Ovis aries: one gene and its partner. The protein of the gene in region 2 interacts with the protein of the main gene of each other region in a pairwise test. Links are inferred from orthologs where the notes say so. Each region holds a gene or a part of one and is shown on either strand. Other genes may lie near its edges.

Region 1 (3,500 bases), on a different chromosome or scaffold from region 2:
CACTTCAAGTCACACCCCATTTTTGTTTTAACAACCAAATATACATCCATAAAAGTTCCAAAGCCACGATCAGCAAACTTTATCTGCCTAAAGACCAATTAAGTAAATACCGCCATACCTGCAATTACTCAACTATGCCAATATAGTGTGAAAGCAGCTATTCGTGGTGCGCCCTAAGCTCAGTCATGTCCAACTCCTTGTGACCCCAGGGACTATATACAGCCCACCAGGCTCCTCTGTCCATGGGATTTTCCAAGCAAGCACACTGGAACAGGTTGCCATATCCTACTCCAGGGCATCTTCCCAACCTAGGGATCAAACCCGAGACTCCTGCATTGGCAGCTGGATTCTTTACCACTGACCCACCTGGGAAGCCCGAAAACAGCCAGACAATACGTAAAAGAATGGGCATGCATGTGTTCCAGTACAACTTTATTGATAAAGCATAGCACTGGATTTGGCCCATAGGCCATAAAAACTGTTTTATACTCAAGAAATGGTGAAAGGCCTAAGGATGACAAAAAACCCAGAAGTTCAGCAGAAAAGACTGAATGTCTGACTACAAAGAATTGTCAAGCTTCTCTACAATAAAAATTTTATACATAAAATTCAAAAGACAAATAGAGAATATACACAACATATAACAAAAGCCAATTTTGTTAATCTATAAAGAACTCATAAAAACCAAGAGAAAAACAATCAAACAGGAAAAAAATGGAAAAGGATATGAACAGATAGAGCCTAGAAAAAAGAAATGACCAATACTATGAAAACATACAGCACCACTCATAAATTAAAGAAATGCGTATCAGTACAAAAATCTGCAAAGGATAATAGTACCAATATTGGTGTGGGAGTATAAAGTGATGTACTATTTTTTAAGAACCATTTGACAACATCTATTAAATGCTAAAATGCATAGATTCTAAATCCATCAAGTTCTAAAATGCCCAAATTCATGCAAAATTTAAGTTTTAAAATACACATACTAAGGTGTGTATTCTACAAAACATACATACTAAATAAATAAGGACACTTATTGCAAAATTGTCTTTAACAGTAAAATGTTTTAAAAAATTGTTAAATAAATTATGGTATATCCATAAGTGAAATACCTAAACCCATCTTCTTAAATAAGATATATCTGAATCTACTGAGAAAGCGGAATCTCACATGCATCGTACAAAAAAAGGGGGGGGCAGTTATAAAGCAACTATGAAGATGTCATACCAGGGATTATTTGAGGGGAGAATAAAAATGGGAGGACAATTTTACTTTAGTATCATGTTTTCTGTGATACTGTTTAGATTTTTCTAAACAATAGACAGTGTTACTTTCAACAACAAAAGAAAATAAATCAAAAATATTTATAAAGGGATAGCAAGTAAAATATGCCAAAATGAGAAGTCGAAGACTGAAGAAGAGAATATTTAAGATAAAAAAAGAAGTGGCTAAAAGTAAATAAACTCACATGGCTTATTTGGTGGAATCAGATATTAAAGAAAGACTTTTGGACCTGTTAAACACATTACCTTCATCACCAGCTGGAGCCTTTGCAGGCATCCTGTTTATAGTCCTTGGAGTTCGAGGTGAAGCTTTGGCTTTGTTCCCTTGTTTGGAGATGAGCTTTATAGGAATTCGTCTTCGAACATCAAGACCACCCAACGATCCAGAACTATTAGTGCCTTGTAACTCATTGTCTATGTTAGGAAAAAAAGTTGTAATTTCTTTTAGGTTTTCTTTTTGAAGGTTATTCTGCCACAGGTATTAAAGCAATATACCCAACATCATGAAGGGCTGAGTATCTGATTGTAAATACTATGCTATGTAAGTTCAAGTACTAATTTTCTCTATTTTGGATAAACTCTTAAAGCAATGTTTTTTAAGACATGGAGCCCTTTAAAAAGTTGACAAAAGTTACAGAACCCCCCCCTAAGAGGATGGACAATAAAATTTTCCATGGAATTCCAGAGGGGTTTATAGAAACATAAAGTCCTTCATGAGCCTAAAGTAAGAAGCTCTGTCTAGCAACTGTAAGATTTTTTTTTAAAGAAGGAATAAAAGATAAAGAAAGAACAGCAAAAAGAAAGAAAACCATCATTTCCATCAAGCATGCAAAGTAGGCACTCAATGAATTTAGTAATCTGCATCTACATCAGGACAATCACTACTGGAAACACAAACTAACACTGACAGTGGTAGAATTACATAAATAATACGCTGAAAACGAAGTTAGCTTTAGGGATGTGATTATCCTCTTCGGTGTAAAATAGTTTTTCTAAAAAGCATTCAGGAATATAGTAAAAATTACCACACAATTTAGCAGTAAACGCAGACACTAATGTACTATAACATTTCTATATGTACAGGTGACTGCGTTATTCTTAGTCAGCACTGTAATGGTAAATTATAGGTGAGGAGGATGCAAGATTTCTATACTTCAACTAGGCCTAAACAACTGACACTTTCTATGTCTCTGTTATTAGCTTACGAAATAAATTTACTCATATCCTATGAGTAATATGAGCATTATTTCATAGAACTGACTCTATTTTAAGATTAAAAGCCACCTCTTTTCCAAGTCCATGACATATTACAATCCAGAAAATATTTACCTTTATCTGCTAAAAGCAGAAAGGCAAATGTCCTAAAGTAGGAAACGCAAATAATTTAAAATAGTAACATTTTAAACATGACAATTAGTGAGCAACGCTATGTAACTGCCACTGCAGGAAGACAGCACAGAGACATAACCAAACTATCCACATTAAATTCTCTAAAGCCAAATTTGGAAGTAGTATCCTACCCAGCAGTAATGATCTCTAAGGATACTAGAATAACACATAGATTTGCACTCTTTCTCAATAATACACGGAACAAAATTCAAAATCAGTCCTTAATTATTAATTTAAATATCTTTCAGTCTGCTTTCTATCATTATTTTCATAACAGCTAATCTGCAAAAAAAAAATCATGGGAATGGGAATACATGGACAGTTAAAAGTCTTAAACTAGGATAAATCCATCTTGATTTAACTCTCAACACTTCACAAATGTATCAACAATCAGATAATGCTTTCATCTGCTTTCACTCCAGTTGCATTTAGTTGCTAAACATCTACAGGCAATGAAGTAGCAAAAAGATAATAATGCATTTCATCTGCTTCGGCTCTAGCTGTTTAAAGTACCTGCAAACAATGTAACAGCAAAAAGGTATGGCAGAATGAGGTTTTTTTTTTTTTTTTTTGCTTGGAAGGTATTCCTGATTTTTCAATGAATTTAAAAAATAGCAAGTTATCAGAGACAGTTCAATGTCATCTTTCCGACAGTAAAAGGACTCTGAACGGTTTTTCCTTGGTGAACAACACTTCATTACTACAAGTCCTTTTCACGCTACCCTAGACATCCGAAGTCACAATTATGACTTTCAAGAGCCTGCTGCCCTCTAACATCTTGCAGTCTGCCTCAGACTCCAAGTGCAAGCTGTTAATAGTGACATC
Region 2 (4,273 bases):
TATTAATAATAATAATAATATTTGTATTATTATCATGTAATAATATTATCATGTAACAATAATAATATCATGTCAGATATAAGAACTTGGTGGTGGGGGTAGGGGATAAAAACTAGACTAGCTCACCTCTGGTGTTACCAGATGTCTTGGTGAAAGAAAACAAAGTGACCAATACTTGTGTTGCAATACCCCACACACAGATGTACACACAGTTTCTAAACTCTGCCCTGAATTCAAGGTTCAGTCAACTTTGCCTCCTCCCAGAAGCCAGTCTCTGCTCCCCACTGATACCCATCCCCGGCCACCACACTGCCACCTACGTGCCCATAGACCACAGTGTCCTCTAAGCAGGTCCTGGGACATTTTGGGACATTTCTCATCAACCTGCTGGAATGGGAAATACCAAGGGCAAGGGTGGGGTATTCCTTTAAGTCCTCAATCACTCCTGGGGTCCAGCAGGGCCCAGCAGAACATCAATCTGACATGGGCCAAGAAATGGGGGACTCACTGCAAAATCAAGCAGACAACACTTCATTTTTTCCTTTTTGACCCAATAGAAAGCTCCACACAACACAGACGGGCCTCAGAAAAACAAATATGTTTAATCAATCAAACTGCAGTTTGTCTATTAAAAAAAAAAAAAATTGCCTACTGTTGGAACAATTTCCAAAGTTCCAAAAAAATCTTATAGCATGATTGCTGCATTTTTCACGTGACCAAACACTGGAAGAATAAACAGTGAACTCCCTTAGGGGTATTGTGGGTGAGTCTTCCTTTCAAAAAATGTTTCTTTTATTGTTATGATACTCGTCCAATCAACTAAATCAAGAGGGAGGAGAAAGCCCTTTGGTAGAAAATAAGCACCTGGAGATCAGTGAAACCAGAAGAGAAACCAACCTTTCCTTGCTCTCACTCCCGGGCAAAGTGAAACAAACCAAAATCTAGAGTCCTGATTATCACAGTGATAAGACCCTGAAGTACACTGTGTCTGCTTTTCATTCCTGAGTCAGGGCTACCAGGCTTAAAAAAAAAAAAAAACACCAAAAAACCGCACGTGCCACTATTCCTTGGGGAAACAGTACCTGTATAAAAAAATCTTTTTTCATCTCTATGAGCAAAAGCCACAGCCTGGTAACCAAGAGAGGACTCCTCAGTCATCCCAGAGATGCTGAATGGGGCCTGGAAGTCAGAACCTAGATCAGATTCCTACTTTGACCCTGGGGCCAGTGGACTCCACCCTCCTGAGCCTCCCATTTGCTCATCTGTAAAAAAACGGGAATTGCCACCTCCCCCACCACCCTCTTCCCACACATCAGGTTTTAGACGTTGGAAAAGACAGACTTAAAGTGGTCAGGATAATATGAAACACACTGAAGGCCCCTAATAAGTGCCCCCCATAACTAAGTCAACCATACAAGACAGCCCCTCAAACCCAACGTCTATCCTGGCAAAAGTTTAGATCCTCGCATCTGTGTAATCTACAAAGGTGTGTCACCAGAGCCAGGAAAGACGGTGCTCGCCCAGGCCAGCTCGCGGGCGTAGGAGCGCCGTTTCTCCGACCCTGCCCACTCCCACCCCAGGGACACTGGCGGCGCGCCCTCACCTCTGCCCAGGACTCGCCCTCTCTCCAAGTTCCGCCGGGGCACGGTGAACGTGTAACTCTCAGCGCCAAAGCCAGGCACGCAGGGCTCCGGCTCCTGGCAGAGCCACGATGAGACCTGGGGTAGGGGAAAGGTATGAAACCGGGGTGACTTGGTGGGGGGGGGGGGTCTCCTCTTATTCACACCGAAACCAGCAGCGCCTCCCTTCCCTCTGCTGGCACCAGGACTGTGGGAGGGGTGGGCCCGCCCCGCCCACTCCCCACACCCCCCCAACCTCCCCACCCCCTCCATTCTCCCGCATTTCCCCCACCCCCATTTCCCCCCATTCCTCCCCACAGGGCAGCCAGCCAGCCACGTCAAACTCTTTCATTCGGAAACCTGTGGCCGCCAAGCCTTCAGGACTTCTCAGGAGGGAAGGCTGCTGGCTCCCCTCCGGCCTCAGCAGCGCTTTCCTGAAAGTCTCCTTTTCAATTTCATCGGAGGCATCTTTACTCTTCCCAATTCCACTCTCCCTATACCGGGACCGCTCGCACTCCTAAGTCCGGTTCCTCAGACCGCCGGCGCTCCAGCCTCTTCACATCCTTTCTTATCCCGGGGAGGGTGGGGGGCATACCTATTCACTACACTTTACAGGGCAGGTGACTTTATCTGTTGGTTCCGCTTTCCTTTCCTCGTTCCCACTACTCCCGGCTCCGCCCGGACTTACACCGGGGCTCCCCATCCCTACTCCACGCCCTCTACTCCCCGCCCGTCGCCCACCCGAGTACCCGGAGGCTGCAGCGAGGCGCGCCCCCACCTCTGGCTTTTGCGGGAGGCCGTCCGCAAAGCCGTACTCGCCCTTCACCCTCACTGGCTCCCTCTCCCACTCCCTTCCCCATGGAGTCCAGAGCGCGGCGCAGTTTCCGGGCCATTCAGGCCCTTTGGACCCAAACTTTTTTAGAATAAGAGGGAGCAGGGGACGACAGGAGGGAAGAGAGGAGTTTGGGGGCTGGGGCGCGGCTTATGGGGCCGGAAGGCATCCCGCGCAGTCAGGGGACCCAACGTACCTGCAGCAGCAGCAGGAGCGCAGAGAGGTTGCGGCACCGAGGGCCCATGGCAGGCCGGGCGCGGGCTGAGTAGGATCTAGCTGAGTTGGGCCGGGCTAGAGTCTGGCAGAACTTCTACGAACTCACAGGTGCTAAGAGGCTCCGGACGCCACTGAGCTGCGGGGCGCCGCGGGAGCCAGGTGAGCCTCGACGGCCCCGCCCCCGGCACCAGGATTGGCTGAGGATGCACCTGCCGGCCTCAACCAATGAGCGGCGCGGCAAGGCCTCCGCTTCCTCCGCTGACTGGGGCGGACGCTCCGCCCCGGAGCCGCGAGCAGACCGGGTGATCTGAGAGTAGTCAGAGTAACGCAATGGTAGGGGCTCCACGATTCCCGTTACCATTAGACTTGAATACCAGCCTCGCGGTGGCTCACCAACATCTGGCGCCAGAGAGATTTCACCCTTTACCTACTTCAGATCTCCATCGCTTCTTGAATCGACAGATCAGTTCACTGGGCAGAATCTTCCCTTTCAAAGTATCAGTTTCTTCACCTACTAAATGGTAAAATAATCACAAATCCCTTCCTGTGTTGTTGTGAAGTTGTCATACAATTAATTAAGACCAATGTTTCGTGCACCACAAAAGCTCTATGCAGATGTGAGGGACAATAAGTAACGATTGATACTGGGCATTAAAAGTTACTGTGTCACAGGCTCTGTGCTAAGCATTTGACATTAACCATCTTACTTCATCTCAAAACAACACAAGAGTTGTGCTATTATTCCCATTTAATAGAGGGACAATCCAGGCATAAAGAATTTGAGGCCAGTAGGAAGTAGTAGCTCAGATAGTAAAGAATCTGCAAGAATAACTAGCTTCAATGTCCCATGCAAGGGACTTTATCTTTCCTTTTACCCTGGGTTCAATCCCCTGATGAGGAAGATCTGGAGAAGTGAATGGCAACGCACTCCAGTATTCTTGCCAACAGAACTCCATGGACAGAGGAGCCTGGTGGGCTACCGTCCATGGAGTTGCAAAGACTGGGACACAACTGAGCCACTTTGATATATAGAAGACTGGAACCCACCTCCACCGCCTGTTCTATTGGCTTCAGCTCATGTGGCCCCACATAATCTTCCAGCTGGAGCTGGAGGTTTCAATCTGTCCTTTAATGTTGACAGGAAGAGATCCATCAGAGATCAGCCAAACCTGTCATTTGCAAATAACTCGCTTCAATGTCTCATGTAAGGGACATTATCTTTCCTTTTACCCTTGAAGCATGATCAGAACTACAGTGTGTTTAAAAAGAAATGGTAATTATGTGATATGATGGGGGTGTTAGCAATGAGTTAGGTATGTGTTAGCTAAGTGTTAGCTATTATGGTAGTAATCATTTTGCAATATATGTGTCAAATCAACATTTTGTTTCTGATAAATGTGTACAATGTTATATGTCAATTATTTTTCTTTTGCTATAAAAACCCCAAAATGTATTTATTTAATATATTCATCACAAGGGTTTAACCACACTTAATTTAAAAAACAGAAACAAAACAAAAATGACACCACAGATAAGACAGAGTCCTATACAGACATTGAGGCACAGACAGACCGCCTAAGGAAAAAAAGAACACAAGGAGAGCTGG

The links. The genes of interacting proteins can lie anywhere in the genome.
Region 1: the proteins of CDH1 (region 2) and CBLL1 interact in a two-hybrid assay, tested with the Homo sapiens proteins (2 studies listed by BioGRID, with this or other methods). The link is inferred for Ovis aries from reciprocal best matches to the Homo sapiens genes CDH1 and CBLL1.

The regions. Positions count from the first base shown.
Region 1 is NC_056057.1:50,277,666-50,281,165, reverse strand, and holds part of CBLL1 (E3 ubiquitin-protein ligase Hakai), read right to left. Parts: intron 1,701-3,500; coding exon 1,533-1,700; intron 1-1,532. UniProt on the Homo sapiens protein: E3 ubiquitin-protein ligase that mediates ubiquitination of several tyrosine-phosphorylated Src substrates, including CDH1, CTTN and DOK1. Targets CDH1 for endocytosis and degradation.
Region 2 is NC_056067.1:35,612,558-35,616,830, reverse strand, and holds the start of CDH1 (cadherin-1), read right to left. Parts: upstream 2,801-4,273; 5' UTR 2,696-2,800; coding exon 2,648-2,695; intron 1,735-2,647; exon of another isoform or gene 1,719-1,734; coding exon 1,604-1,718; intron 1-1,603.